Rhinolophus ferrumequinum: one gene and its partners. The protein of the gene in region 1 interacts with the protein of each later gene in a pairwise test. Links are inferred from orthologs where the notes say so. Each region holds a gene or a part of one and is shown in the gene's direction. Other genes may lie near its edges.

Region 1 (11,238 bases):
TAACACTTTAGTGAAGAAGAAAGGATTCTCTGTTACCTGTCGTTTTCATAGCATTCTGGGTCATCACTAGATTTAGTATTTTGTTTCTACACTGTCCCAAACTGCAGAGTCAGTCTCAATGTTTCTCCCTCCCCCTCTACCTCATATCAGCACATCTTCCCTAGTTCATTTCTACTGTTCACTGGACCTACTGCCTACAGCTCCTTACTTAGGTCTTCATTTTGGAAATGTTCTCTTATTTTTGCGCAAGCATATTATTAATACTTACCATCCTTCCTAAGACAGCAGCTCCTACTGCATTTCTGGCCAGTGCTCTCAGAATAATACTTCAAGAACTGAGCTCCCATCTTCTGAGACTCCTCCAGGTCAATTAGAAGACCTGGGAAGCGACGGATCCAGCAGTCTCTATAAAATATGGTGGGTGAGCAGAGAGAGTCTGAGGTCCACCCCATGCTAAGGAGCATGATCACGTCTGCTGCCACCACTGCCACGTGCATTTCTCTGGTAAGACGATTCGGCAATAAGTCTGATTTCCACACACAAGCTGGAGCTGACCATCAGGGTTTAGGACAGTTTCTGGAACTTTCGGTGCTGTTGCTAAGGGAGAGCTTCCTTGGGACTCTTCTGAGGAGTGGGTGGTGGGGGGAGGTCACCTTCTAGAAAAATGAGGCAGTTCTTTGACTGCATATTGATTTTTCTTTTGTTTCTTCCCAGTTGAGCCCCAGGTGAAGATTTGACTTGCTGGCATTAATTCTGAACACTGTCCAGGCCATTTCAATACTCTGTCCTTTAGCCTCCTGAAGACGTAGATTCTCTCCTCTGCTTTTCTTCTTTCTCTGAAAATGAATAGTCACAAACACCTTTTACTAAGTAAACATAAAGACAAGTGGAAATCCTAGCTAAGAGTCTTTCTGAGGAAAACAATAGTTTAGTCACTTGACATCAGATAAAGAAAGGATCCATTTCAAGAGAAATAAGACATTGTTTTGTGAGGGCACTTCTGAGTGGTTTGTAAGGAACTTGTGACTACAGATTTTTTAAAAAAATTATCTCTTTTTTTTGAATTTGAATTCTAGTATTCAGGTTCACTAGAAAACCAGTTTGTGCACTGGTTTAACATTTTTGTTTTTACTAAAAAAAAACAAGTTATAATCTTGAAAGTCAATGAAAACTGAAAATGAAATAAAAATTTTAAATTTTAATTTTGAAAATATTGAATATGGATCCTGGTCACTTCTCAGGGCCATGCATTTTTTGCCAAGGCCAGCCAGAAGCGTTCTTAAAAGACTATAAAGATTCAGCAAAAAGAACAGCTTCATAATGTAGTAGAATACAGTACCCCTTGAGGTGTATATTGTTCAATCAATAATAAAAAGTGTAATTCACAGTGAAAATTGTGAAGAAGTTCAAATTGAGGGTTGTCTAATGTGTTTTCTGAAATTCATGTTTGGAAGTTATAAAGGAGCCTGCTTTGTGAAGCACATACATGCATAGTGTCTGTGCTTGAATCAGGAGTTGCTAAGAAACGTGCATTAGGAAAATAGGGAAATGGTTTTAAATTTATAAATATGAATAAAATTACCTCAATTGCAATGCCAAAACATTTGAAAAGATATTAAAGGTAGTGAAAGTGGCCTCTTACTTTCATGAAGATTGTATGTTTTATATCCCATGATATATCCAAGATGACAAGTTAGTTCCAAGTATAAACTGTTGTTTCTTTGTATCCATTTTTATACAAAGCAGCTTTGGGCATAAAGTACAATACTATGCTTTTTTTTTTTTTTAACTTTTTTCTGTGTTTATTTCATACCTTTTTTGCACAATAATTCATTCAGACTTGACCAAAAAATGTTAACATTCTTTGAACTTTCATCTCTTCACCTGTTTCCCAGTAATAGCCTAATTACCACATCTTTTGATTTGTAGAAATATATAATATTAATAATTGATAATAAAGAGGAAAATATTCCAAAGACTGAATAACTTTAAAAACAAAACATTTCACTTTCTTGCAAGCAAAAATTATATTATGGATTAACTCCTAACCTTGCATAAACCACATAAAATACACTGAAAGTGGTAACATATTTTCTTCTAATGAACTCATAGAAAGCGAGTTCTGGTTGCTTACCTGCAAACAATCTTCCATATGTTCCGAGGGGAGAGAGCAGTTTCCTAATGGCAAAGCAAGGGACAGATGAACAAAAAATTACTCCCTGTTTTTCTGTGAGATTCCATAGCTATTTTGATTAGCTCATGGCCTGGGACAAAAACCGGAAAGTCTACTTTCTAACCTTCTAACCTCCACATCTTTCAGTCACATTAAATGTAGTTTCTTTTGTGTGACATGTAATTCCTCAAAGCTCTCATGTTCCCTGCAGGACTAATGGAACAATCCACAATTGTTTACTCCTTTTGCTATCAAATGATGTTCAAGTGAAGGTCAAAGCTGCATTTTAAAGAATCTACAAATTCCAATGTAAAAGCATGCTTTAAAGCTTTAAAAACATTTTTGTTTTTTTAAACTGTTAAACATAGTCTGGAAATGAGTAACTTCTTGAAGCCAAGTATTTTGACAAGGAGAGACAGAAACTGGACTACGGGGCGGAGGGAGGAATACACAACAGGCTGAGATATGTGTGGCCCAGAAGCATCTCAAACCTTGTCCATGGAGATGAAATTGCAGAAACCAGAACGCAACTACAACTCTGAATAAGACATTGCTAAGTACCTTTTGTACAAATTGTATCAAATATCCAGAATCACTGTACTATTGCATTGCAGTGATATGTTGTACTCATTTCCAATTGGGCACTCTTCAGAGGGGTTCAAAAATTAGATTTCTACTTTAAAAACCACTCATTTGCTTCAGTAGCTTTGGTTTGGGAAGCAGAATTCTTATTTTTATAAGTGCCCCAGGTAATTTTCTAAGATGTTTGGAAAACATTGATATAAGCATCTGAAATAAATGGAAGTTTTGCCTACATGAAGACATTCAACCTGAATTAAATAGAGCTGTTTTAAAAACTGTACTACTTTTAACTCATTTAAATTGGCCCATATGCTTTAGTGAAAGGAAAATTTGGTATTGCTTGTTAAAAAACAACAAGTTATTTTAGGAATATTAGAGGGACTAAGAAATAAAGATAATTTTTAAGTAGATGTGAAGTAATCACATAGGTTGACTAAATTCACAAGATGTTTGAAAAATAATATTTCATCGTTATTTTAAAAATGAGAGTTGTATTATTTACTTAATGTTTTCATCAGTTGATAAAATTGATAGAAATTGTTTTAAAGAAATGGGGCCTGAGAAATTTAAATATGTCTTTAATTTTCCTAAAATCTTTTGCTTTTAATACATTTATATACATTTATTTAAAAAAATCCAAACCATATAGTAAAGTACAAAAAGAAGTAAAAACTATTCAAGATCTTACAATCTTAACATTTTGGTAAACATCCTCTACAAAAACAGATACATGACAAATGGATTCATACTATTTCAGAACCTGTTTTTTAAAAATACAGTATAAAATTATATTTTTCAGTGTCTCTAAAGTTTTCTCTACATCAAAAGTTGTAATCTCTAAAGAAAGTTTTCTCTACATCAAAAAATTGTAACTCTGCAGTATTTCATTCTATACATGTACCAAAATTTACTCTGTACCTCAGCTTCCTCAGCTATAAAACTGTATAAAAATACTATTATAGTACATGTAAAGTACAACAGTGCCTGGCATATAATGAACATTAAATGTTAACTGTTATTATTATATATTCTGTTTTCCAGTTTATTATTATTAAAAGCAACATTGTGATAAACATCGTGTACTTAGAATTTTTTCCATTCTAGGTCAAAATGTGTATTTTTCATAAATTCTTAAAGAAATAGCCTAACTCTGTGACCGTTATTTCAGTTTTCTGTAAAACAGATCATGATGTAAAGTGCTTAAAGTGAATCATAATTACCACAAAGTTCAGTCTTTATGATTTAATGATCAGTCAATAAGAGATCTATAAAATTATGCCTCCAGTTACATATAAGCAATATTTTCATGAAGCTTGAAAATAATATTTTAGTTCGTTTTGTAAATAAAGGAGTTTATATTGCTCTGACTGCATTTCTAGCTTAACAGAAAGATTTCTGTATGTTATTAAAATAATTTGATGTTTTAAGATGCTTCCAATCCTAAATGTCGTTATCATGTTGGGGACAAATAACTTACAGGATCAGTGCCTAGTATTGTCAAACTAACATCCCAGATTCTGTGTCCAAGCTGATCTGGTAATATTATTGTGTGTGAATTGCCTTTCTAATGCACATCATTCTTTGAGTGTGATTTTTTTTTTTTGGGGGGGGTCTGTTTTTAAAAGGCAAAATACCAGTCTGAGGCATATCTATGATTGCCTCATAGATATGGTTGGGAAACAAGCATCCATTGGTGAAAGATTCTAAAGAGACTGTTTTTCTGGGCTGACCCACTGAATCTCGCATTGTCACTGATGGTCCAAATCTCTGATACAGGGGGCCCCTTCCAGCACAAGTTCCCCAGCTAAATGCCTAATACTGGACATGTCACTTTACCTTCCCAAAGAGGTTGCTAAGTTCATGGTCACTCACCCAGAGAAGCTTAGAATGTCTCAAACTGTACCCTCATTGAGAACAAGTGTGAGAGGTCCATGTGAGAATGGGGTTTTATCAGTAATGATTTAAAGGCCAGGTGAAACGAGGTCGAGGTGAAAAACTAGAAGCTTTTCAGAGTCTAAGCACACTGAAAGAGGCAAGTCATAGATTCATCTTTATTTCTTTCATTTTCCCAGGGAGGCTAGAATCTAGTAGAATTTTCCCCATGTCTTTCAAGTTCTAGTTTTATATTCATGGTGTAAAGAAAAAACTGGATGACATCACCTCACTATGAAGCAGCTAAGTTACACAGAAAGAAGCACAAATGTAACCAAACAATGTGTTGAAAAGATATCTTGTTTTACAGATACGACGTTCTTCTTTGGTTTTTAACCTTTGCCCTTTGGTAACATAAAATTTTAATCACTATTGGAGAAGGTCTCTTCCGTTTTAAATAAGGGAAATGTATTTATGATGAAGGTATTATTTAACAACTTGTCATTCAAGAAGAAAGCTGAAGGTTGTAATAAGAAAAATAAAGTCTAAACTCATATTATCTCCAAGTTGAAGACATTTATAGTTGGTTCTCACATCTTGGTCTGGGAAAGTTTTCAAGGGTTTTTTATACGGTAAGAGTAAACACACCCTCTGCTCTCTCCCAATCCTATCCCTCCTTCTACTCAAAGGTACCCTAATAATACCCCCTGCCCCTCAGGATTAATTCATAGCTCATGAGCAACACAAGATCCTTTGTATTATTTGGGGTGAGCTCTCTTTTTGCAATGTTTGGTGACAGAAGATGGAGAAGAAGCTCTCCTTAAGTAGTCCTCAGACTGAGGGAGGCGGGGTTAGAGAAAGGAAGGGTAAGAGGGTTGCAAGAAAAGCCACCTCCATAGGCAAAAATGAGCAGAAGGGGTCTGACCTTATGTCCAAAGCTAACATTCCGTAATGGCTCGCCCAACCACGTTGAAATAGGGAAAGCAATGACGTTTCCATAGGTTAGGAAATATTTTAAAAGAAGGCCCACGATCTAACTTTATTTAGTCGACTTGTGCTTTCTTTTAATCGCATAAAAAGGATAACAGGCCCCAGCAGCAAACACAGGCTTCTCTGCTTCCAAACCGCTTTCCCCCGTGCACCCCTTGCGCTGAGTCCTGCAGAACCTGCTGCCGTCCGGCTGGACTTTCTTTCTGCAAGATGGCTCCTACACAATGACCATGCCGAAGACTAAGCTCTAAGTGCCACCTACATGTCCAGAGACGGCCAGTGAGCCTTAACCCCTTGGGACACGAAGAGGGACTGGGCCAGATGGGCGATCCCAGATGTGATGTCTTTTTGACTCCCTGGACCCCAGACTGCCTTCATCCCTTTCCCCCACTCCCGTTCCTTTTGCCTTTTTCTTCCTCTCTTGTAAAGCAGCGTGGAAGAAAAAGCAGACTGGCTTCCTCTCGTCTCCTGTCCCTCGCGAGCATCGCTGCAGACCCGGGCAGGCTGCAGAGGCGTTGCGCCCGGCGTGCGGGGGAGGCTGCGGGGCCGCACCTTCCCGCCTCCCGCGCGGTCCCCGCCGGGGCACCAGAGGCCCGCAGCCTTCCAGCCCTTCCCGAAAGCCGGATCCCGTCCGCAGGTCTGGCGGGCGGCAGGGGTCCTGCGGGCGGAAGTGCGAAGCGCGCCGTGGGAGGAGGCTGCAGGCTGGGGGCTGGGATCCCCTCCCGCCTGACGCGGCCTTGGACAACCCGCGCAGGGACGGCGGCCGCCTGCCCACTCCCGGCGCGCGCCAGCCGGCCCTTTTTTGGCTCTGAACCGGACCAGAAAGGCAGGGCCGCCGCGCTGGGGGAGCGAGGCTGAGCTGCCGCACCCGGGACCAAGAGAAGGGACTGCTTCGCGGGGCGCTGCCGCGACCCACACAGGCTGGGCGAGCGCGGCAGGGAGCGGGCGGCCCTTCGCCGGCCTCCTCCTCCGGGCGCCATCCCCCGGCGCGCCCAACTCGGAACCCGGCAAGCGCGGGGGCGGGGAAGCGATCGCGCAGAACTGGCGGGCAGCCCCGCGGCCCCTGGTCCCCCAGCCATGTCGGCGGAGGAGATGGTGCAGATCCGCCTGGAGGACCGCTGCTACCCGGTGAGCAAGAGGAAGCTCATCGAGCAGAGCGACTACTTCCGCGCCCTCTACCGCTCCGGCATGCGCGAGGCCCTGAGCCAGGAGGCCGGCGGCCCCGAAGTGCAGCAGCTGCGCGGCCTCAGCGCCCCGGGCCTGCGCCTGGTGCTGGACTTCATCAACGCCGGCGGAGCCCGCGAAGGCTGGCTCCTGGGCCCGCGGGGAGAGAAGGGTGGGGGGGCGGCGGAGGACGAGGAGATGGACGAGGTGAGCCTGCTGTCCGAGCTGGTGGAAGCGGCCTCCTTCCTGCAAGTGACGTCCCTGCTGCAGCTGCTGCTGTCCCAGGTGCGGCTGACCAACTGCCTGGAGTTATACCGCCTGGCGCAGGTGTACGGGCTGCCCGACCTGCAGGAGGCCTGCCTGCGCTTCATGGTCATCCACTTCCACGAGGTGCTGTGCAAGCCTCAGTTCCACCTCCTGGGGTCTCCTGCTCAGGCCTCAGGGGATGTCAGCCTGAAGCAGAGGCTGAGAGAGGGCCGGATGACTGGGACTCCTGTCCTCGTGGCCCTGGGGGATTTTTTGGGGGGGCCTTTGGCTCCTCACCCCTACCAGGGGGAGCCCCCCTCCATGCTCAGGTACGAGGAGATGACTGAACGTTGGTTCCCGCTGGCCAACAACCTTCCTCCTGACCTGGTTAATGTCAGGGGTTACGGGTCTGCCATCCTGGACAACTACCTCTTCATAGTGGGCGGGTACAGGATCACTAGCCAGGAGATCTCCGCTGCACATTCCTACAATCCCAGCACCAACGAGTGGCTCCAGGTGGCCTCCATGAACCAGAAGAGGTAAGCACCCAGCGAGCGCTGCTGCTTTCTCATTCATTCACTTGTTCATTAGTTCATTCCCTTAATGTTTACTGAGCAGTCACAGGAGGTTGTGCTGAGGTGGGAATGACATCTTCAGGAGTGTGGCTGGCCTTGACTCTGGCAAAGTTCCCAATGAATAAGAACTTTCAAGGATGAAGAGGCCCCAGTGAAGTCAACTAGCTGAGTAGTTTCCTTGCAGGTATTGTGTCTTTAGGCAAACTGCTTTCTTTGCCCCTGTCCCAGTGGAAAAAAACATTGTGGTTTTCCAGAAGGATACTTAAAAATAAAATTGTTTTTTAATTTTGCTTTTATTTTTTATTTTTTTTTTATTTTTTAGGATCTGATAATGATGACACATTGACAGCAACCTGTAACACTGACCTTGGGGGATTTTTGTTGTTGTTAATGACTTTGAAGTCTTCCACACTAGGGCACCAATCTATGATCAGGAGATAATCATTAGATTAGAATTGTATTAACATTAGCTGTGTAGGATTGCCTTTCTTATTTTTTATCCTCTCTTTCTCATCTCACTTCCTTCCTAGGCATTGTTATTGACCCAAAGTTTCAGCCTGGAACTGGTCACCTACACTGTTAGAATATTTCCATCCATCCCAACCTTCTCCTTTCCCATCTTGCAAATCCCTCCAGACATGAACTTGGGTGACATGAAAAAAAGATGAGAAAAGGAGGAGATTGGGGGAGAGTTAGATAAAGGAATCAGGAAAGGAATAGGAAAATAAGAGCAAAGAGCAAATACAGGAAGGGGTGGTATGAAACAAAGATGGTCGGGCACAAGATGGCCCAGAGCCATTCAGAAGTGGGGAGAAGAATCAGTGTAACTCAAGAAAGAACAAGAATACCCTTTCTTCTGATCCACCTGTATCCATCTCCAGTCCCACTATGTGTCTTGCCCTGAAGTGTGGAGCAAGGAGTCGAGGGACTCACCGCCTGTCAAAGAAATTCTTAATAGGAATGGGGAGGCCATTACATATATTTACTTGACTCTAGGGTGCCCCCAGACCAGGGGGAATACTGGCTTTATTTCTACTATAATATAACATTTATTTTGGAAAGCATTCCTTTTTTCTGATGATTAAAAATAGTATATAGATATTCTAGAAAAATGGAAAAATGGAAAAGAATAAAGAAACACAAAGGCTATCACTGCTACTGCCTCCTTCTGAGAGGGAATAACCATCTACAAGTTGGCATATTTTCTTCCAACCCCTTTTTAGTGCATTATTTACACTGTTGAGATGATACCATATTTAAAATTTGTTATTAGAAGTGTTGTTTTAAAAGAAATTCTAGGAGCTTTAATTGAAGCAACACAGGAACACTCAGTGGTGCTCAGATTAGGGGTGGAAGGCCCCTCTGGTTGTCTGTCACTTCTACACGTGTCTCTAATTGTATCAATTGGTGCAACCTCCAGCTCCATAGCTCTAACACAACACCTCATAAATTCTTGTTTTTTCTTCACAAATCGTTGGTAGTCTTTTTTTTGCCCCTTTTTTCTTTGGGCAAAAAAAAAGTATTCGAATGATGCAGGAATATATGCTTAGAAAAATTGCAAATGACACGAAAAACTATAGACTAAAAAATATGTCTATCTATAGACATACTTATATATTATAAATTTATAAATACATATTTATATTTATAAACTAAATGTATAGTCATATAAATATAAGTATATTGATAGTGTTTAACGGAAAATGTATATATGTATGCATGTACATGTGGGGGTGCATACTTATACATATATTTACTCAAATTGATTAGGTTAGCTGATTATTACGGCACTTGATATTTCTACTTAACAGTATACTGTATCTGACAGTTTTTTCTATATCAACAAATGTCGATTCACTTCACTCTTATTAATGGCTGTGTAGTATTCCAGCCTATGGAAGTACGTAATGTAATTAGCGCTTCCCTTATTTATGAGCAGTTAGATTGCTTCCATTTGCCATTACAAACATTGCTATAGTGGACATTTTGGTATATGTGTACATATCTTGCTAGGCATCTTAAAGTTAGTTCTATATGGCAAATTCCTAGAATCCCTGGAGAGGTGGGGCAGTGTCTGTACATTTAAAATTTTGGTAGCTCCTGCCAAATTGCCCATCAAAAAAATTGTTCTTATTTCCTCTTCTATCAAACACTGTCTAATCAACAGAGTTTGAACTTGCCAGTTCCCTAGACTCTTGCCAAGATATTATCATCATTTTTTATTTTTACCAGCCTACGGGGCAAAAACACTGGGGTGAATGTCTCTGACTGAGAGATTGTTCTTTTCATATTATTACCAGCCATTTGTATAGTTTTGTAAATGGCCTTTACTAATTTTTAAAAAATTGACTCATTTTTTTCATATTTATTTTAGAAGTTATATTTATGTATGTAGATATTAATCTCTTGTCTATTAAGTAATATTGCCCAGCTTTTCCCCTGTGTTTATTTTATTGTAAAGTTCAATAATGAAATGCCTGGAGTGACCAGGCAGGTGAAATCAGTGGGTCGAGGGTGGGAGTTAGGATGAACCAGAGAGCTATTGCCCCACCACAAGAGGGCTCCACCTCTCAGCCACAGCAAGTTATTGCCAAGTAGAAGCGAGGAATGGTGTGGCGGGAACTCCAGATATCCTGATTTTTTAGATTTTTTTACTCCATTTTAAAAACGAACAAATCAGTAGCAATGATAAAAACCTTGTAGACCTAACAAAGTACAGCACTGGCCTTGGCTTATATAAAGAAATTTTAAATTCCTTTGTAGTCAAATTTGTCGTGTGTGTTCTCTGAGCTTTTTAATCTTGCATAGTAAAGGATTCTACAAGCTAAGAATATATAAGTACTTATCTATCTCATGGCCTATTTTATACTTTTGACTTTTTACATTTAAATCTGAATCTAGGATTTATTTTCATGTAAGGTATAATGTAAGGTTATAACATGTTTTCTAAACGTCACAATAGCCTCAGTTCGTCTTACTGTAATTTGCAAAACCAGTTATCAAATGCCAATTTTCCTGTTTTCAAATAGGTAGATTGGCCATTCCTGCATCAATAACACATTTTAAAATCAATGCAGCTTGCTAACCTATTTTATTATTGTCAAGTAGCACAAAGACCCCTTTGTTCCATTTTGTTCTATTTTAATTGGCTGTTTTGTACACATCTTCTCCTTCAGGTAAACTTTAAAATCAGCTTGTCAAATCCTTCTGGAATTTTGATTGTGATTACATAACTTTGATAGATTAATTTGGAAGAGGATTCACAATTTTATACTACTTTACAGAAAAATGGTTTGTTTTTCCAGGTATTTATTTAGGTCTTTTGGTCCTTCAGAAAGATTTCTTTTATTATCTTTGAGAGTTTGTATATTTTTTGTTAGGATTAGTCTTAGGTATTTCCCAGTTACTGTTTTTTTCCTACACAAATACTTTTTCCATTTTTTTATTTTCTGATTGGTTATTGATGCCATATTGGAGTTTGCATCCTTCTTTATCTCTCTCATGCTTTGACTCAGATCTGACATAATCTCAACCAGGAGAACCTTCCTGAACCCTCAGTTGGGCTAAATGTTCAAACCCTGTGCCCCCTCTTGAATTGAAATTTTTTGTTTGTCTCTCTCCTTTTCAATCAAGCTC
Region 2 (10,218 bases), on another chromosome or scaffold:
GCAGCTGGCCTTGGTTCAGGGCTTGGTCTCTCAAGGCACTTTCAAGTATCACATGGGCAGTCGCCATCTGTGGATTTCTTTGTGGCTCCTACTAGGTGGCCCTCGGTGGAGCATTGGCTGCTGCTGAACATGACCTGCAGCAGATCCCCTCCCAGGTGCCCCTGGGGCTGGTGCCCCCAGCAGCCAGCTTCAAAACGAGCTGGAGAATCACCCAGCTGTCTCCAAGGATGACACACTCAAGGGGCAGACTGGGCAGCCACCAGAGCCCTGCTGAGGCAGATCCTGCTCTGTAAGGTCAGCCCCTGTACCACGACACCTCCACTGTAGTCAAGGCCAGTCCCCACAACCAGTAAGCCCAAGGGTTAATCCCTCCCTTTGATGTGCAAATAGCAACCAAAGTTCAAATACAAGAGGAGGGCACATACAACCTCCACAATGGAAATGACTGGAGTGAACAGCTCAAGTGACCAGGAAAGCTGGGACACTGAACCCTACAGCACATCTACTAAATAGGGCCACTCTACTAAGACCGGGAGACATAGCAGCCCTACCTACCTAATACATAGAAACAAACACAGGTAGGCTGCCAAAATGGGGAGACAAAGAAATACGTCCCCAACAAATGAACAGAACAAAGCTCCAGAGAAAGAACCAAACAAAACGGAGACAAATAACCTACCAAATGCAGAATTTCAAACACTGGTTATAAGGATGCTCAATGATCTCAGGGAGAATTCCAACAAAGAGAAGGAACCATAAAAATGGAGATAGAAAACACAATTAAGAACCAGTCAGAAATAAAGAATATAATGATGGAAATGAAGAATATATTACAGAGAATCAACAGTAGATTAGATGAAGCAGAGGATAGACTCAGAGATTTAGAAGATAAGGTAGCAGAAAACATCCAATCAGAACAGCAAAAAGAACCCAAAAAACTGAGGACAGTTTAAGGTGCCTCTGGGACAACATCAAACATACCAACATTCTCTTTATAGGGGTACCAGAAGGAGAAGAGAGAGAGCAAGGACTTGAAGACTTATTTGAAGAAATAATGACAGAAAACTGCCCTAACATGGCAAAGAAAATAGATATACAAGCCGAGGAAACACAGAGAGTCCCAGACAAGACAAACCCAAACAGGCCAACACCAAGACACATCATAATTAGAAAGCCAAAGGTTAAAGACAAAGAGAGAATCCTAAAAGCAGCAAGAGAAAAGCAGTTAGTTACCTACCAGGGATCTCCCATAAGACTATCAGATGATTTCTCAACAGAAACTTCGCAGGCCAGAAGGGATTCACACAAAATATTGAACGTGATGAAAAATGAGGATCTACTACCAAGACTACTCTACCCACCAAGGCTACCATTTAAAATTGAAGGACAGATGAAGACCTTCCCTGACAAGAAAAAGATAAAGGGGTTCATCACAACCAAACCAGTATTACAAGGAATCTTAGAGGGACTTCTTTTTTAAGATGTATATTAATAAAATGGCAATAACTACATACTTATCAATAATTACTTTCAATGAAAATGGATTTAATGCTCCAATCAAAAGATAGGGGAGCTGAATGGATAAGAAAACCCCTACATATCTGCTTACAAGAGACTCATTTCAGATCAAAAGACACACAGAGACTGAAAGTAAAGGGATGGAAAAAGATATTTCATGAAAATGGAAACAAACAAACAAACAAAAAATCTGGAGTATCAATACTTATACCAGGCAAAATAGATTTTAAAACAAAGACTATAACAAGAGACAAAAAAGGACCTAGTAATCCCACTTCTGGGTATTTATCCAAACAAATCCAAAACACTACTTCAAGGGGATGCGTTCATCCATGTGCTCATTGCAGCATTATTTATATAAGCCAAGATATGAAGGCAACCTGGGTGTCCCTGGATGGATGAATGGATAAAGAAGAGGTGGTACATATATACAATGGAATATTAGCCATAAAATAATAGAACAAAATCGTGCCGTCTGGAATAACATAGATGGACCTAGAGGGTATTGTGCTGAGTGTAGTAAGTCAGACAGGAAAAATCAAATGTCATATGATTTCACTTGTAAGTAGAATCTAAAGAACAAAATAAACAAACAAACAAAACAGAAACAAACTCATAGATAGAGAACATTTTGATGGTTGCCAGATGGGAGGGAGGTTGGGGGTAGGTGAAAAGGGTAAGGGATTAAGAAGTACAAATTGGTGGTAACACAGTAGTCATGGGATGTAGGGTATAGCATAAGGAATGTAGTCAGCAATATTGTAATAACGATCTATGGTGCCGGATGGGCACTAGATCTATTGGGCTGATAGATGGGAGGCAGATTGGGGGCAGGGTAAAAAAGGTGAAGGGATAAAGAAATACAAATTGGTAGTTACCAAATAGTCATGGGGAGGTAAAATATAGGGAATATAATCAATTAAAAAAAAGAAAGAAACTCAGAAATGATGACTTAACTGTAAATAAGTCTTGATTATACTTTATTTTAAAAGTAATAGCAGTCATATAAAGGAAGAAATCCAAACACAGCAAGCTAATATACTTGCTTAACATGTTTTTAATTATTGTATATGCTATATAATAACGTTTATGCAGATACTCCTTTTTATTTCTCATTGAAAAGGCATTTATTTTGCTCTGAAAAGCAAGAGAAAGAGACGGTACTTTAAACATCAACTGACTATGCTAAGTGGAACCATCAGTTATCTGCTTTTTTGTTTTGTTCTGTTTTTCTTTCTTTCTTTCTTTCTTTCTTTCTTTCTTTCTTTCTTTCTTTCTTTCTTTCTTTCTTTCTTTCTTTCTTTCTTTCTCTCTTTCTCTCTCTCTCTCTTTCTCTCTCTCTCTCTCTCTCTCTCTCTCTCTCTCTCTTTCTTTCTGTTTTTCTGCTTCAAGTTTTTATAAAGACGCAAATAATGAAAGGTATTATTGTAAATTAGTTCCAAAAAATAACTTTGGGGTTATTTACTTGGCCAGTATGAAATCAGCGTCATCTTTCCTATTTTCTGGGTATTTAGGCTATACAATGAGAATTGATTTTCTGAGTGATAGCCCTGAGAACTTGCAGGAGTCTCACTTATCAAAGAAAGTTTCAATTATGTTCCTATATTGTACTTACCAAGGAAGAAATTAAGGGAGTATACTTCACAAAAGCCTCCTTAAGAAAAGTTGCAATAACCTTCAGATACCTAGCTTAGCACACCTAGATAATTCAGAGGACCCATTTCTCAGTGGACTGTGCAATAGAGATTTATGGGATAAGAACATTTTACTTTTAGCAGTATTTATATATACTCCCAATAACCCCCAACTTTATTACATAATCAAAAGAGGTTTTCAATTAAAATTTAGGGGTAAGAGAACTACATATATGACAGTTAACTCACCAATAGTGCTGAGTAAAATAAAAGAATCAAACAGAAAATAAACAGAAGTACTAGACAATCCCAGGAGGCTGTGTTTATCTGTTTAGATTCCAGGCTGCTTTGCAAGAGAGTTTTAAGGCCTGGATGGGTGGCTGGACTAGAGAATCCGAAGGATGTTTGCCAATCCTGACATCGAGTGATCCATGGAATGGTGACAGTTAACTGGCCAGACCTCGAGGCTCTTTGATTTCCATTGAGTGTTCTCAGTAAATGCTAAATTAGTAATAAGCACATAAATGCAAAATGCCACCAAAGTAAAGAATTACAGCAAGGTGATAAAACATACCACATAGAACTTAATTATGTTCAGTACCAAGGAAGGCAATGGAGATACATATACATATATGTATCAAAAATAAACAACAAAACCCTTACTCTACAAAATAATGTCATCACTGTTCAAGAAACCAAAACCCTAGAATTATCGCCCTAATTTATTAAGATTTTAAGAACAAATTGTCCAAATTTGTAGGGGAGAAAAAAAGAGAAACATGGAATGTAAGCCTCACTGGCTTCTTATTGGTTCTGTAGCAGAGTGATTTGCATGTGGCAATCTCAGGAGAAACGATTAAACCATTATTGATCTCTGGTGAACTTACCAGGATGTTAAGAACCACAGAAGAAATGTATTAACTTAATATTTTTGGGTCAAAGTTCCATCTACCTCCAGAGACAGTAAAGAATAGTTCTAAAAAATTCATAATTTTCTATGGGAAAAATACAGTGCTAGATTTTTCTCCCCTAAAATGTTATAAAGTCCTCCATGTTATGAAGTGCTGCCATTCTAGTAACAGGCTCTAAGTCAGGCCTTCCTCTCCTCAGCCTTTATTCCTCCATCCCGACCCATCCCGACATGGCTGACGTCTTGTCACCTTTCTAAGCCCATCTCTTTCAGGAAGCCTTCCCTGAGCAATAGCCTTCACCATCTTCTTCATTTGTTCTCCAGACATTGTTACTTTTTCCCACACTGTGACAGCTTCTGTGGTATTTTTTTAAGTCCCCAATTTGTATGTGTGCTTGTGCACATGTCCTTTTTTAGGCTGTGAACTCTAAGAACACAGCCTACGTTTCACATTACTTGTGTATGTATCCCTAGACCTTAGCACATGCTTCATACATAGTATTTAGTTAACATTTCCAATATAAATGAATAAGAATATGGAAACATTATGATAATTAGACTAATGAGTGGGATATAGTCTGAGACACAAGGGAAACACATGGGAAACAGGAGCCAAAAAAAAAATAAATAAATTCTTTAGGCTGATGCAATATCCTCCTCTAAGTAATGGTGCAGGTATTCTGGCAAAAATTGCAATAAGCGGCGTGGGGGAACCTGGCACGAGATGCTATCTTTTGGTTCATGAGTAGATACACAAGGGAAGATCAAACCAGGGAAGCAAGAGCTCTTTATAATGCAAAATACTTAGTAAAACATAAAGAACTGACACCCAAGGATTTCTACTCAATCATTATTTGCTCTCAAGGACCTCTTTACCCTTTCTCTGTGAGCCTCCACTCTGGAGTATATGGATTGGGGGTACTGTCCTAGGGTCGGGGGCTAGGCATATCCAGCGTCCAGTGTGGCATTCCCACGCATTTCACACAGAATTGATGTCAAATCGGTCTCCTCAAAGTTTCATCTCATTCATCCATCCAAGGTAATGGCCTATTTCTAACCAGTCTCCCATTTTAGAGACCCCCCGTGTTATCCACACACACGCCTTCTTGTACACTCCCCACATCTATGGGTAAATATATCCTGTGCGTTCTATTCAAGAAACACTTTTAGTTTTTGCAGCTTCAGCTTTAATCTTCCTTATAGTTCCATAATATTCTAGCAACAGCTCTCTCTTTGAGCCACTAAGAAAGTGTCTATTTGTCCCTCCTGCCACCATATGTCCTCCATCTGTTGCAAGAAACCTCTTCCTTAAATCAATTAAATAAAATTAAAAAAAAAAATTCACAAATACCTGTATCAAATCTTTTACATTTCCTTTCCTTTCTCTTTACTCTTTTTATTCCCTCCTTTTCTCACAAGTTTTGAGGGGGGAATCTTGCTTACTGCTAATATTTAAATTCCTTAGATTAATATATGACTCTGTAAATTGGCTCCAATCTTTTCTTTCCCAGCTTCATATCCTGCCATTTAAAATCATATACAAATTTCTTCCATTTCATTGACTGTTTCACTTTTCACAAGAAATAATAGGCCTTGTCATTAATTCTTTTTTTTTTTTTTTTTTTTGTATATTCATTTCTTTTTGTCTGGAGTGACTCTCATCGTTTTCCACATGGAAAATGCTCATCCTTCAACATCCTTTTTCCTTTTTAGAGAAATGTCCTTCGTTCTGTTGGTTCCCTTAGTATACTGAACGTGTCTTTGGAAAAGCACTTATCTCCAGTATTCTGATTTACCGATTAACCTTTGATCCCTCCCGAGAATGTGATCTTCAAGGACAGGCACTAAGTCTGACCTACCTCTCACATTAAGCACATAGCATGATTCTTTCTATGTAGGATCCAAGCACTCACTGTTTGGGGAATAAAAGGACGAAGACTACAATGCTCAAATGAACAAAATGTATGTTTACATGTTGTTTAGGAAGAGCTGAAATTTTTTCATATCATGGGTTAAATAGGCTCTGAAGCGCTAACCTGGGAACCCAATGGATTGGAGTAACTTCGTTTCTAGGGGAGTGGACATTCTAAGTTCCAAGCAGCACACATACTAATGAACTTTGGAACACAACATGATACCCCAGGGTTCCACCAGGCTAAGCAGCAGGCACTGAGGCTGGCAAGCAGCCCTCAGACTGGTAAGTGCTGAGCCTCTTGGAAAGGTAAATGAACCTAAATGAAGGCAGCCAGTCGTGAGGAGCAGCTGAGCCAGTAACCGAGACCAGCTCCAGTCAGCCAGTGCACAACAAATGCCCTCTGCCCACCTGGCCCGCCTGGGCCCATGCCATGCTGGTCACTGTGTACTGTGTGCGGAGGGACCTCTCAGAGGTAACCTTCTCCGTCCAAGTCAGCTCTGACTTGGAGCTCCACAATTTTCGTGCTCTCTGTGCGCTCGAGTCCGGCATCCCAGCTGAAGAGATCAAGATCGTCTACATGGAGCGACTCCTCGCTGATGACCACAGTTCCCTGGGCTCCTATGGCCTCAAAGATGGTGATGTAGTTGTTTTACTTCAGACGGAGAATGTGGAACCTCGGACTTCTGGACGGACACCGAGCCTGCCTCGAATAGATTTCAATGGAGTAGCCATGCCTGGGACATCCGGCTCCCGGCAGCAACACCAGCAGCAGCGTCCACAGTCAGCCCAGCAGACCCATGGTTTAGGTTCCGGAGAGAATTTAACATCTGCTCAAGGTATGGACAGCCCCGCCTTGATTCGAAGCATGCTGCTCTCCAATCCCCATGATCTGTCCTTGCTGAAGGAACGCAACCCTGCCTTGGCCGAAGCCCTGCTCAGCGGAAACCTTGAGACATTTTCTCAGGTCCTAATGGATCAGCAAAGGGAAAGGGCCCTGAGGGAGCAAGAGAGGCTTCACCTCTACTCTGCTGACCCATTTGATTTGGAAGCTCAGGCCAAAATAGAAGAAGAAATCCGGCGGCAAAACATTGAGGAAAACATGAATATAGCGATGGAAGAGGCTCCAGAGAGTTTTGGACAAGTGGCCATGCTCTATATCAACTGCAAAGTGAACGGACATCCTATGAAGGCTTTTGTTGACTCAGGTGCCCAGATGACCATTATGAGCCAAGCTTGTGCTGAGAGATGTAATATAACACGGCTGGTAGACCGCAGATGGGCTGGGATTGCTAAAGGAGTGGGCACACAGAGAATTATTGGCCGAGTTCATCTAGCTCAGATTCAAATCGAAGGTGATTTCTTACCATGCTCTTTCTCAATCCTTGAGGAGCAACCCATGGACATGCTTTTAGGGCTAGATATACTCAGGAGACATCAATGTTCCATTGACTTGAAGAAAAACGTGCTGGTGATCGGCACCACTGGCACACAGACTCACTTTCTACCTGAGGGAGAGTTACCCCCATGTGCTAAGCTGGTAAGTGGTACTGGGCTACAAGAGTCTCCAGTCACTGAAGTAGCAGATAATATCAAACATTCGGTCATGGACGCAAGACGAAGAAAACATTGAAATGGGTTACACATAAGTCATCAACTTAAGGGAGTCTCAGGTTCCGGGAAATTTGAAGACATGAGCCCACTGGCAATGTAATCATTAAAAACATCGGTAACAACTAAATCTGGCTTTGGGACCAAGTTCTCATAGCTGTAACCATGTAAATCATAATGGCCTATTCTTGCCCCCTCTTCCATTTCCCTCATCCGTAGTTCACTGAACCTGATCCTGGGAAGGCTCTGGAGGCTCCAACTGATTACCAGGTAATCAATGAACGGAAAAGTTACCTCTTCCTTTAGCGATATCCTCCCATCAGATTACAGGGCGGCTTGTCCAAACTAGTTGTGATTTTGCAGAATTCATTGGAATACACCATCGCAGCAGACCCCACAACCATCGACACAAAACTATTTCGAATCAGCACTAACAATTATTTATATTCAGAGAAATATGTCTGTTGTCAAAAATTTTGTTTTCTTTGAGAAAGTTATTAGAAATGCTGGGTCAATTATACTCTTGAGTTGATCAATACTTACAAATGTCTGCTTTGGATAGCATAAGCACTGATTTCTTTATATTTTACACTTTCCCCTAGACTCCCCTGGAGTCATGCTCACTGCGATCAACTCCTCAAGGCTATGTTTGGCATATTCGAGAAAGTAGATTTTTCTCCTAGAATCACTTAAAATAATTTACTCTTCCCTTGCATTCAAAGAAACCCTGGTTGTAAAACAAAGCCAATCAAGTAGATTTTTTATTTTTTATTTTTTTAATTATAGTGTTTCTTGGAAGCATAGTAGTTTTATGATGGTGAGAGTGGGAGGTAGGGGCAGGAAGTGGTCCAGGTCCCTTAATACTCATTTCAACTAGATCAGTTTTAAAAATCTGCTTTGTATATTAAACTGCTACATAAATATTTTTCAAAAATTGTTTTTCACTCTTAAAATAACATTTGAAAACTTCTGAATGAGAAGATCTCTAAGGCCTCATTCAGCTCTATGATCCATCTGACAAAGCTCCTCTCCAGTGATAGTGATAAATAGAAGATCCTAGACTTCATTACAACCCATGGTTAAAACATGTGAGAGAAAAGGTTCGACTGTCTGAGGCCATCAAACTCAGGGAAAATGTTTCAGGGCAATAATCCATCTAGACTGGTATTAGAAAGAGCGCTAGATTCAAAGTCAAGAAATATATGTTCTGATTCCAGCTCTCTATTACTTAGACAAATCAGTTCACATACACAATTCAGATTTCTCATCTATCAATTGTTTCAGAGGGGAGAGCCATTTTCAAGTACGAAGATTATATTATGATCTATGATATCTTTAAAGTTTTTCTATTTCTCCAAAAAAGATCTAAAGCCACTCAAACCATTCTGAAAGACTAGAGAAAACAAAACAAAACAAAACAATATAAACTTCCCCTATAATCACCATATCCTTTTATATCCCTTTCTCGATCTGTATCTTAGTGAAATTAATCACCATCTTCCTTAAGAGTCATCTTTTCCCCTGCAGCCATCATCAGTTTACCTCCTGGTTTTCTTCTTCTTTATTGGTTTTCCTATGCTCATATTCCCCAACCTTGTCCATTTACATCAAGGCTTACACCTAGAAGAACGGCTAAAAATGACCAACGGAGACTTCTTTCTACTTTTGTTTTTAACTAAGTACGCAGGACAAATGTAATTAACAAAATGAAGGGAGAAATTCAGAATAAGTCAGGAGTAAGCAATTAGATGCTTGTGAATTGATGGGAATTGATCTGACAAATGCATGGATTCCTTCCCAGATAAAAACATGAAACTCCTTGGTATCTCCTGCAGGACTCAGTATGCTGCTATAAAGTACCTCACACAGATTAGTACCACTAAATCTCAGAATAGTCCTTCAAACTACTTGTCATTAACCACATTTTACAGATGGGAAATTCTAAGCTCAGACTTATTATGAAACATTGAAATATCCACTAGCTTAGTGGGTTGCTTTTTAAACTTTTTTGACAACAATCTGCAGTTTCACATCTCTCTCTTTCTCACACAAATGCACACACTTGGTCTATCTCTGAAACAAAGAAACAAAAATAAATAATATGAAATGTTTTATACTTTTCTTTGAACTATTATATATACTTCATTATTTACAAAATATATTAGCTATATCCCACTAATTGTATCCCACCAAGGTATCCTGATCTACAATTTGAAAACACTGACGACCTGCCAGGTTGCCCAATTCAAGTCTTTCTGATTTCAAATGCCAAGTTCTTTACACTTTGTAACCTTCTTTACCTGACATATTTTAATTCTAGAGACTGATGCAAAATTGTTACACAAGTTTATTTTATGGAAACTACCAATTTCTATAAAATACCAGTGAAAATGACAAGAGTAGCAGTAATCAGAATATACTCAACAATTACTTATTGGACACCCATATAATAAGCACTGAGCCAGGTTTTTATAAACATGGGAATGAGTAAATTACAGTTCCAGACCACAAGGTGCTTACAACCTGGTAGTGGTACAAGACAATCTTGTAATCAACTAAGAACAAAAAGAGAGTACATGGAATTAGTCACGTGCAAATGACGGAATGAACTTTAATTTGGGGGTTATTTTTAA
Region 3 (10,740 bases), on another chromosome or scaffold:
CTTGTTGGTGGGACCCCAGTCCCAGCAGCCTCCTGATTCATAACCAGGCCGGACCACGTGCAATAGGGTGGAAACCAAACTGCTCCATGCCACATTATTTAAAAGAAAGGTGGGTTTTGTGGTGGTTTTTTTGATTGTAATTATTTTTTTTTTAATAAAAATATTTTGGAAGGGATGGTGTTGTCTAAAGTTTCTAAACTTCAGTGGGTCAATGGGAGTGATCTGGTAAGTTCCCTAGATACCTGTACCCCTTCCCTGCCAAAGTTGGGGAAGTACATCATTAAATATAACGTTTATTGAGTGCTTGTTAAGAGCACTATTCTACCCACTTTATTTTAATTAAGCCGTTTAATCCTCATATAGAAGTAGATACTGTAATCATGTTTTACATAGGAGGCTGAGGTTCAGAGAGGCCAAGTCACTTGTTCAGGGTCCCCCAGCTAATAAGCCGTACCAGGGAGCTAGGACTGAAACTTAATCTGCTTCGAGAGCCTGGTTCTCAACTTGTATTTGCTGCTGCTTGGTAGATTTAGACTCCCCAGCCACCTGGAGAAACTGAGTCAGGTCAATTACCTGTCAAAGGATGGGACTTTTTTTCCCCCCTTCTTCCACCTCCCCTATCCCCCCCACTACGGTTCAATCTGTTTCTCAGTCTAGTTGTGTAGGACACAGCTCCCTGGCCCATGCTGGTATTGTGAGCCTTGTGCTCCCTGACCCCCCCCCCCGCCCCCACTGAAGCAGTTGGTCGCCAGTCGTCTGGCCACTCACAGCAGCTCCTGGCAGCTCTGGCTGGCTGCTGCGGCCGCCTCACCGTGGCACACAGTAGCCCGAGGCAGCCCACCGCAGCTTAGGCCAACCTCCCGGTGCTCACGGCTGCCCAACAGCTCCAGGGAGAGCTGTTGTTCACAATCTTAGCTGTAGAGGGCGCAGCTCACTGGCCCACGTGGGAATCGAACCCACGACATTCTGCATTAGGAGCGCAGAGCTCCAACCACCTGAGCCACCAGGTTGGCCCAGGATAGGACTTTCTGACAGTTAAAATTTTGTCAACCCTTTCATTTGTATAAAATGTGCTGCTGAACCCCAGAGGAGAAAAATGCCCAAAGATTCCCAGTGCTGAATGGTTTTTCAGAAAACCAGGTTAGGAAGTAGAGCCAGGCTAAAGTTATGGTTTTTAACTATTTGGTAGGTACAAACCCAGGCTGGTGAGAGTGAGGGGAAAAGAGAAGAGAGGCTAGGGAAGATACAATGTGATAACATTGCTGCTGAACTGGCTATGTTTCCACAAACACTTGAGGACATGGCAGCAGGTGACTACGCATTAGGGACTTTTCTGGAAGCGTTGCAAGGAGGAACCACACCTTGGCATAGTCCACAGGCAGGGAAAGGAGGGGGATTTTGCCTGTGCTTTCTGGCTCAAAGCCAGATTCTCACCCTTAGAGGGGCATTGCATTGAAGTCTGAAAGCAGTGGGGTAACTTAACAGGTAGGTGCCAATCAAGAAAGAGGAGGTGGTACAGAGGATCTCAAGAAGGCACAGAAGTTCCGCATCTCAATATGGATGCCCACTGGATCGTGTCTTTTTCCTACTTAAAACTTACAGTGACTTCTCCTACTCAATAAAATCCCAACTTCACCAAGGCCTTTGAGACCTGATAGTCTTGTTCCTCAGTTTAGTCTCCCACTGTCCCTTACTCGCCTCCAGCCACATTGGTCTCCTTTGACCCCAACCTAATTTTGTCCCTGGGGCCTTTCCACTTGCTGTTAACTCCCCAGAAGACATTTCCCCCACAGCTTCACCAATCCAACTCTCCCCTTCTCAGTGGCCTTCCCTGCCTTTCCGAGCTCAACATGTCCAGATGCACTACCACCCCTGTTTGATTAATCACATTCTGTTTGATTTTCATAGTAGCACCTATTCAAGCTCAAATTATTACCTTTTTATGGTTGCCTCTTGGTTTATTGGAAACTGAGAGGAAGGGGTTTCGTCGGTCTTAGCCCAGCTGTATCCCCCAGTGAGTAGAACTATGCATGGCACAGGTGGGCACTCAAAAAAAAGTCCATTTTTGCTATTGTTGAAAAAATGAACTCCTGATCTCACCATGGCCAACCCTCCCTGCCACCTCTCTGTACTCATCTCCCCCATACTCCTTCGCTCCCATGCTCCAGCCACACTATTCTCTGCCATCCTTCAAATACACCAGCATGTCCCAACATCAAGACGTGGAGTATTACCTGCCTCATTAAGCGACTGTGCAAAGTGTGTAAAAGGGGGCCTAATGCACACTGAGGATTCCAATAATTGCTCGAATTTACTGAGTGCTTACTGTGGGCCTGGCACTCTTCCATGCATGTGAGTAAAACAGTTCCTGCTCTCATATAGCATCATAGTGGGGGGAGGCTGAAATAAACACAAAAGGTAAGTAACAAATGCTGTAGAGAAAAAGAAAGCAGGAATGTGATGAGGGGGTGTCGCTATGTAGATGGAATGGCTAAAGAAGGCCTCAGTGACAAGGTGACATTGGAATAAAGACCTGAAGGAGGTGAGAAGTGAGCCAAATGAATCTGTGGGGGACATCCTGGCAGAGGGAACAGCCAGGGTGAAGGCTCCGACGTGTGGAGCATTTGAGAGAGGGTGTGGAGGTCAGTGTGGCTGGAGCAGAGTGAGCAAGAGGGAAGAGTACTAGGAGGAGGTGAAAGTGCTGAGGGGTCTAAATCATGTAAGGTCTAAGGGAGTCCCACAGGGAGGACCTGAACTCCACGCTGAGTGAAATGGTAGCCATAGGAGGGTGTTGAGCAGAGTGTGTGGGGGGGGCAAGACCTGACTCCCGTTTAAATAGGCTCTCCTTAACTGCTCTAAAGATAACCACAGTGAGGCCAGTATGAGGAGCACCCCCACTTTCCAGATGAAGAAACTGAGGCTCAGAGAGAGCGAGCTCCTGCCGTGTTCAAGAACTGGCGAGAGAAGTGGAAAGGCTGGCACGGCAGAGAGAACTGGGTCCCGAGGGCAGAGTCCACGTTCCCCAACCTGCCCTCCCGCGCTGTCCTTCGGTGGAGGATGGGCCGCGGCCACCTAAGGGCATAGGCAGGGAGGCCCCGTCTCTCCCCGCTGCCCACCCACCGCCCTGGGCTCGCTCTGGGCGGGATACCCGGAGGCGGCGGCAGTCGGGAGCCGGCCCGGCGCCTCCTCCCTCCCCAGAGGCCGGGTGGGGCAGCCGGCTAGGGCGGGGCGCTCCCCCATCCCCCTCCCTTCTCAGCTGGCTGAGGCTCCTCCCCAGGACTGCTGGGCCCGGTAGCTTCGCTACTAGTTTCACTTCCTAAAGCCCGGCCTCTTTCCTTCTCCCTTCCCCCAGCTCTTTGAATTTCAGGATCCTTCTCCACTTTCTGGTCTCAGCTTCAAAGTCACCTCCACGGGACCACCCTGGCTACAGATACTTCTCCCCAAGCCTCTCTATTAACCCCATCCTATTTTGTTTTCTTCAAGTCACTGAACGGAGGCAGAGATTATCTTCCTCATTTATTAATCTTCCAGGGTCTTCTCATCCCACTCAGAATGAAAAACAAAGGTCCGTAGAGTACTCAGAAGGGCCTAAAAACGTCTCTGACCTGCTCCCGACAGCATACAGACCAACTACACGGGCCTCCAGCACACGCCCACAACCCGGCCTTCACATTGGCCCTTCCTTCTGGCTGGACCCTTCCTCACTACCTCTCTCATTTCACCAAGTCTCTACTCCATGTCACCTCTTTTCATATTTCTTTTCTTTCCACCCCTCCCCTAATCCATAAGAAGTGAGACCCTGTGAGGTTTATCCAGTATACCCCATCATTTACAACAGTGTACACCACCTAGTAGGCGGTCAATAAATTCTTGTACATGTTAATCAAATGACTCTTGTGAGCTCTTCCATGTACGACGTGGAGCAAGCCTCTTGGAGACTGTGCTTCCTTTTCCTGGCCAACAAGATAGGCTGTGGGGGAAATAATTTGAATTTTCCTAGCATGGGCCTGGCTCTAATGATCATTTTACCCTCTTTTTATTATGAAAGATTTCTAGCACTTAGAAAAGATGAAGAAATATTCCATATTTAATTCCAAATGCATAATAGACGCTGCAAAACTGTCATTTGCTGGAGGGAGCATTTGAGATCTTGCTTCCCAGCATGTTGTCGGTTTGGCTCACATAAACTCATAAAAATTATCTACAGGTTTGAACATTCTTACATTGACAATATGTACCACATCCTCTTTATCCATTCGTCTATCGATGGAAACCTAGGTTGCTCCGATATTTTGGCAATTATAAATAATGCTGCATAGTATAGTTTGCACTTTTTGAGCACTTACTTTGGCCAGGAGTGTTATTCACAACTAACAGTTCTTCCCACAGCTCCAGCAGAGTTAGCAAATGATCTACTCTACTTGAAGAAGGTAAGTCCCATTTTCAGTCTATCAGACAAGTATTAAACTCCTGTCTACTTATACCCCATCCCACGTGCTCCCCCTTGAACTAAGTGCCTGTTCTATCACTACAACAGCTATTACTACTAACAAAAGGACACATTGTGCACCACTCTGAGCATTTTGCACAAATTATTCAATTTAATCCTTAAATCAATCTTCTGCACCAGATGCTATCTCCATTTTAATAAAGATGAGGAAACCGAGACTCTAAGGGACTAAAACCTTTGCTCAAGGTCACTCAGCTACTTAGGGAATGGCGCCCAATATACGACCCCAGTGGCATCCCCCCACTCTCATCTTTTGACTCCCACCTTTGAGTCCAACTGCCCAAAATTTGCCGAGTCTAGTATAGTGCTCTTACGGATGCGATCTTATTTTAATTTTCCTAACTCAAGAGGTAGGCAAGAAGATCCCCATTTAATAGACTTCGTGTGGTTAAGAGGTCAAGCGTTTTTCTAGGGTCACACATCAAGTGAGTGATGAGTCAGAATTTGAACCCAGGCCTATCTGGCCTAGAGTGTAGACCCCTGTTGGGGCTGGGTGTGTAAGAAGCTCAATTGCTAAGTTTGGCAAGCGCATGCGTTGGTGTGAGTGGCCTGCACCTTGATAAGCAAAAACCCCCTCCCTGCCACAACCTACCAGAGCAAAGAGCCACCCTACCTTCTACTCTACCCTTACGCAGGAGCCCGGGCATGCGCCCTGAATACAACCTTCCCTCCCTTCGAACCTGCCCCCTACAGGCTCCTCCCATAACCGTCCAGGGCCAATCCCTGGGTGTAGGGCGGGGCCGCTACGGTAGTGGGCGGTAGCTAAGAGGAGTCAGGAGCCTGGAGTCGTGCGCTGGAGTCAGAACTACGTCTCGCGACCCAGGCGCCGGTTGCCGAAGGAGAGCTAGCAAGTGATGCTGCCGCCGCCGCTTCCTGATTGGCTGCGGGTGGCTCCCTCTTCGTTCTGATTGGCAGCTGGTGAACTGGGTATGTAAATGAAGGAAAGGGGCCTAGGGAATGAAGGGGTACCGGCGGCTTAGTCTTTGGCAGGTTCGATCCCCGCGCCCGGCAGGTGCGTGCCGGGACGGACCGGGATCGAGAAGCGCGGGCCTCTAAATGCCGCCCGCCTTGGCCGGGCCGGGTGAATCACGCCGCAGCCCGGGAAGGGGGCGGAGGCGCCGGCTCTCTGGCTCCGGCTGCGTGACTCACCCGCCCCCGCCGCCGCTTCGGGAGGCGCCGCCTCCACTGCCTTCCGGTAGCGAGCGGAGGCCGAGAGGGCAAAGCAGCCCACGGGATCCTGGCCTGCACTGCCCTGGCAGGCAGGCAGGAACGACAGCCAGGACGGGGGGCGGTGTACAGGGTCCTGGGGTCTGAGGGGCTGGAATCCCCGGGGGAAGGCCCGCTTGGGGCCACTAGGGGGCGCGGGGACAGGGGGGCGGAGTTAGAGTGGGGGTGGGGGCTGAATTCCTGCGGTTCCGGACTCTCGGGTCTACGGGGAAGGAGACGAGGACCCAGTTCTGAGTAGTATGAGGGGTCACTGTTAAGGTCCTACTGGGTAAGGGTCCGGGGACTGGACCGTGCAGGCTGTCTTCCTCAAAAAAAAAGCTTGGGCCAGTGGTCTAGAACTCCAGGGACCCCCCCACATCCCGCCCGAAGGAAAGTGTGGGTCCTCAAAGTTTTCTCAGTGATTCCCGTGCCCATCAGGATTTCCCGGCAAGCTCTGTCTACTCTGCCTCCCAAATAAATCCTGAATCGACCAACTTCCTTCCATGTCCACTACCACCCTCTACTCCAAGCCACCGTCATTGCTCCAAAGAGTGCAGTAGTCTCTCCGAATAGATCTCCCCCTTCTCCCTACACCCCCGACCACCATCCTCGAAGTAGCCAAGGAGGAGCTTCTGGAAACCTAATCAGTTCACAGCACCACTCCCCTTCCTGCTGAAAACTCCTGAATGACTTCCCACCACACTCAATAAAATCCAAACTCCTTGCCTCTGCCTATTCTCCACCCTTCCCACCCCCCTGCCCCCACCTTGCCACTCTGTGCGCTGACCACACTGGTCTTTTTTTTTTTTTTTAAGGTATAATTGGCACACACTAGCCTTTTTTCAGTACAGGCTCATCCTGCCTCCAACTCTTGTTTTGCCTTTGCTGTGGTTCTCTCTTCTAGGATTGCTTTCCCCTCGTTCTTCTATGGCTGACTCCTTCTCATGCTTGAGAGCTTAACTCAAATGTTATCTCCTCTGAGGAGCCTTCCCTGACCACTCCCCAGAACCTTTTAGTATCTTCCTAACACCATCTGTACATTTCCTGTATTTGTTTATTGTCTGATGCATAGTACATACTCAATAAACTTAGATTAAACTATGTGAAACAGCTGCTTTTATAGGTTAAAAAAGTTGAATACTGGACAATTCACATGGTTCATTGAAGAAATATAATACTTAATAATAATAGTGCTTATGAATAAGAGTAATTGCTATGTACCAGGCACTGTTGTAGTGGTTTTTGGATATTATCTCATATATTCCTTAAAACAACTCTAGGAAGTAGACTATTATCATTCATATAGTAAAGGTTCTCTAAGAAAGCCTAGGTTCAGAGAGGATAAGTGACTTGCCCAAGATCATACAGGCAGCAGTAGTCAGACCAGGGTTTGAACTTGACATTGGCTTTCCGTAACTCAAGAACTTGTCTCCCCACAGATGATGCTGAGCAAGGGCCTGAAGCGCAAGAGGGAGGAGGAGGAGGAGGAGAAGGAAGCCCTGGCAGTGGACGCCTGGTGGCTGGATCCCAGCCACCCAGCAGTGGCACAGGCACCCCCGGCCGTGGCCTCCAGTTCCCTCTTTGACCTTTCAGTGCTCAAGCTTCATCACAGTCTGCGGCAGAGTGAGCCAGACTTGCGGCACCTGGTGCTGGTAGTGAACACGCTGCGGCGCATCCAGGCATCCATGGTGCCCACAGCCTCCCTGCCACCTGTGCCTAGTGTGCCTGCAGCCCCTGGCATGGCTGACAACTTGCTGGCTAGTTCAGACGCTGCCCTCTCAGCCTCCATGGCCAGCCTCCTGGAGGACCTCAGTCATATCGAGGGTTTAAGCCAGGCCCCCCAGCCCTTGGCAGACGAGGGGCCACCTGGCCGCCCCACGGGGGGAGCCCCCCCTGGCCTGGGTGCCTTGGACTTGTTGGGCCCAGCTACTGGCTGTCTTCTGGACGATGGGCTCGAGGGCCTGTTTGAGGACATTGACACTTCCATGTATGACAGTGAACTTTGGGCACCAGCCTCTGAGGGCCTCAAACCTGGGCCTGAGGATGGGCCGGTCAAGGAACAAGCCCCGGAGCTGGATGAGGCTGAGCTGGACTACCTCATGGATGTGCTGGTGGGCACACAGGCACTGGAGCGGCCACCAGGGCCGGGGCGCTGACCCCAGGGCTGGGATGTTTATCTGGTGACCAAACAGCCTGGTGGCTGAAACAACTGTCCTTGGAAAGACATGGCTGGCTCCTCTAGAACAGAAAGGGATGCTTCAGAGAGACAGTCAGTCCCTGGCAGCTTCACCTCCGTCCCCTTGTCTCAGGCTGATGGGAGGAGTCTGGGATCAGTCCTCCATGGACTATAGGGCCTGGTGGCTGGAATGTGATTGGACGAGGCCCAGTGCTGGACTGACTCCCCGGAGGTCTTAGCCTGGGATACTCTCTCCCAGATGTGGGAAGAGACCCCAACCAGTTTTATGAAATTAAAAACCAGGTCTGGTAAATATTAAGTCTGTGTGCTTCTTTGTCTCTGGGTTAAGGCGAGGGTGAGACAATAACCTCTAATATTGATTGACCGTGGACTGTGTATCCGGCATACCTCTAAGCACTTGACATGTGTTAACTCATTTGATCCTCATAACAAGATGGGCTTTTTTATTATCCCCATTTTGCAGTTGACAAACTGAGGCTCCAGGAATTCATCACTTGAGGAGGTGGGTTTCAAACCATGAACTTTACAGTTTTATTGGTCTCAGAAGCAGACAATTAGGTCTGGTAACTGGCCCTCTAGAAAACTCCCCAGAACATATTCAGCCAGGTTTCCCTGGTGTGCCTGTGTATCATAGTAGTGGTGGTGGCAGGGGGGCCCCAGGCCACTTTTTAATAAGGAAATCTAGTCATTGCCTGGAGTCTAGGGGGGCTGAGGAGAGAGGGAAAAGGGAGCTTTCAGAATGAGCTAGAAATAAAAGCACAAAGCTGAAGGCTGGATGGAGCCTCTCCAAGGAGTTCCGAGAGGCAGCTTCTCCAGGAAAATGGTGACAGAAAGGGAGACTCCAGCAACTTTTAAAAAATAAATTTCACTCCGGGTCTCAAATCTCAATTTGGGCAGGGAATAGGGCTGCTTGGAGGCTGACTTAGAAATAAAGCCACTAGATTTGGTGGCTTGACTGAACAGCAGGCTGTTCTGCTTTCCTTCTAGAAGAAACCCAGGCCCGGGCGAGCTGAGGCCACCTGCCTGACTGCCTGTGTTGTATGACAGGGCTGGCCTCAGCGCCGGGTGTCTGCGCCGCCCCCGCGGTCCAGCCGCATTCCTGGCCCCGCTGGGAGGGGCCGCACACTCAGAGGCCTGGCACGGGACCCAGGCGGCGTCCTTCCTGGCGGCTGTGGGGGCAGGGCAGCGCCCAGGGTGCTGGTGGGGGAGGGGCGGGGGATAGAAGGAGGAGCTGAGGGCCGGATGGTGACTTGAGGGGCCGGCTGGGCCTCGAACGGGAAAACGCCGACAGGGGACACCAGGATCGTTGGGCCCCACCGCCTTCCCTCTGGCCGGAAGCTTAAGGGAGGCTGAAGCTGGGTGGAACTCGGGGAGGCCGGCAGCTCCGGGCGGGCCCCTCGGGTCGGGAAGGGGCGGGCAGAGTGGAGCTTCCTGGAGGAGCAGAGGAAGTCGTACCCATTTCTGGAAGTGGATGAGGCGGCCACGGGAGGGGAGTGGAAATGACCCGACGGGACCTGATGTCCAAGCTGAAGGTCTTCCGGTGCCTGACTCCAACCCCTGGGCGATGGGACTCAGATTCCGTTTCGACCCAGACCCAGACCTTGGGAGTTTAGGTGGAGCTCAGCAATGCCCCCTGGTGCCCAGTCTGGGGGTCTATGATGCTACTGCCTTAGATTCTTTGGAGATCTGTCCAGTGGTTCAGGAGTCCCAGTGTGGGATCAGCAATGCCCTGTTTACAACACCCTGGGGGCCTGTTCCTACTGTCTCTGGGTGCCAAATTGGGGGATAATCGTAATACCTACTGATGCAGACAGCCAACCCACCTGTCAATGATGCTCCCATCTGCCTCTGTGCCTGCTTGGCCAGCGATGGCCCCTTCTCCCCAGAACCTCTGCGTACAGTTGCACAGTTTGTGCACTGCACATAGTCTCCATATTTAAGGGACTACCACACATATCTCAGACATCATGCATTTACATATTTATTATGACAGTTTGCCAGCAGATGGAGATCAAGTGCCTCGGGGAAGGGGCATGTCTTTTGTATAAAAGCACCATATGGGCTACATCAGCCCTTGTCCCATCCCCCTGCTGCCCTCAGGTTTATGAACTGCTCATGCCTGAGGACCTGCCCCAGTCTCCCCATGTCGAGCCCTGGAAGATTGTGCAGGGTCCCTAGCTCTGGTGTGCCCCTCCGCCTTCAGGCTCAACCCCAGGAGGCCAGCAGATTCCAGGGCCCACACCATTCCTTGCTGAGCCGCCAGCTCTGGCACTGCTGCTGCCTTTCACAGAGCCTCTGTGTATTCCCACCACGACACTCCCCAGGCCAGTTCCCCTGCATAGGCATTCACAGGGACCCCCGTCACACATGCACTTCTTTTCTGTCCTTGATTTCCTTCTCCTACCTTCCTCCCTTCCATTTTTCCTTCCCTCATTCAGGAAAAAAATGTATGTGTATCTATTGTGTGCCTGGCCCTCTGTCAAACGCAAATCTGACCACATTTCTCCCTTGCTCTGGGCCTTCAGAATTTATCCCAGTCCTCTGGGATCTGAATCCTGCACCTTTCAAGGCTCACCTACCACCCCTGTCCAATTCACCCATCCAATGAACATTTACCAAGCACCTAGGGTGTGCAGTCCAGGTGCAGAAGTGTAATGATGCTTAGTCAATGATTATTGACACAATGAACTATAAAGCAGAAATTATTTGAAAAGCAGACCACCTGAGTTTGAACCTCAGCATTGCCATTCTGTGGCTGTGTGATCATAAGCAAAGTATTTAACTTCTCTGGGCCTCAGGGTCCTCATTTCTAAGTTGGAACAGTAAC

Evidence for each region.
Region 2: the proteins of KLHL42 (region 1) and DDI1 interact in binary tests that used the Homo sapiens proteins (3 or more experiments, as listed by UniProt). The two-hybrid records come from large-scale screens. The link is inferred for Rhinolophus ferrumequinum from reciprocal best matches to the Homo sapiens genes KLHL42 and DDI1.
Region 3: the proteins of KLHL42 (region 1) and SERTAD1 interact in binary tests that used the Homo sapiens proteins (3 or more experiments, as listed by UniProt). The two-hybrid records come from large-scale screens. The link is inferred for Rhinolophus ferrumequinum from reciprocal best matches to the Homo sapiens genes KLHL42 and SERTAD1.

Annotation. Positions count from the first base shown.
Region 1 is NC_046293.1:38,442,148-38,453,385, forward strand, and holds the start of KLHL42 (kelch-like protein 42), read left to right. Parts: upstream 1-6,561; 5' UTR 6,562-6,694; coding exon 6,695-7,566; intron 7,567-11,238. Other genes in the region: MANSC4 (MANSC domain-containing protein 4), read right to left, coding at 269-497. UniProt on the Homo sapiens protein: Substrate-specific adapter of a BCR (BTB-CUL3-RBX1) E3 ubiquitin-protein ligase complex required for mitotic progression and cytokinesis. The BCR(KLHL42) E3 ubiquitin ligase complex mediates the ubiquitination and subsequent degradation of KATNA1.
Region 2 is NC_046294.1:73,277,994-73,288,211, forward strand, and holds DDI1 (protein DDI1 homolog 1), read left to right. Parts: upstream 1-6,407; coding exon 6,408-7,607; downstream 7,608-10,218. UniProt on the Homo sapiens protein: Probable aspartic protease. Seems to act as a proteasomal shuttle which links the proteasome and replication fork proteins like RTF2. Required, with DDI2, for cellular survival following replication stress.
Region 3 is NC_046298.1:39,107,574-39,118,313, reverse strand, and holds SERTAD1 (SERTA domain-containing protein 1), read left to right. Parts: upstream 1-5,281; 5' UTR 5,282-5,437; intron 5,438-7,155; coding exon 7,156-7,872; 3' UTR 7,873-8,211; downstream 8,212-10,740. UniProt on the Homo sapiens protein: Acts at E2F-responsive promoters as coregulator to integrate signals provided by PHD- and/or bromodomain-containing transcription factors. Stimulates E2F1/TFDP1 transcriptional activity.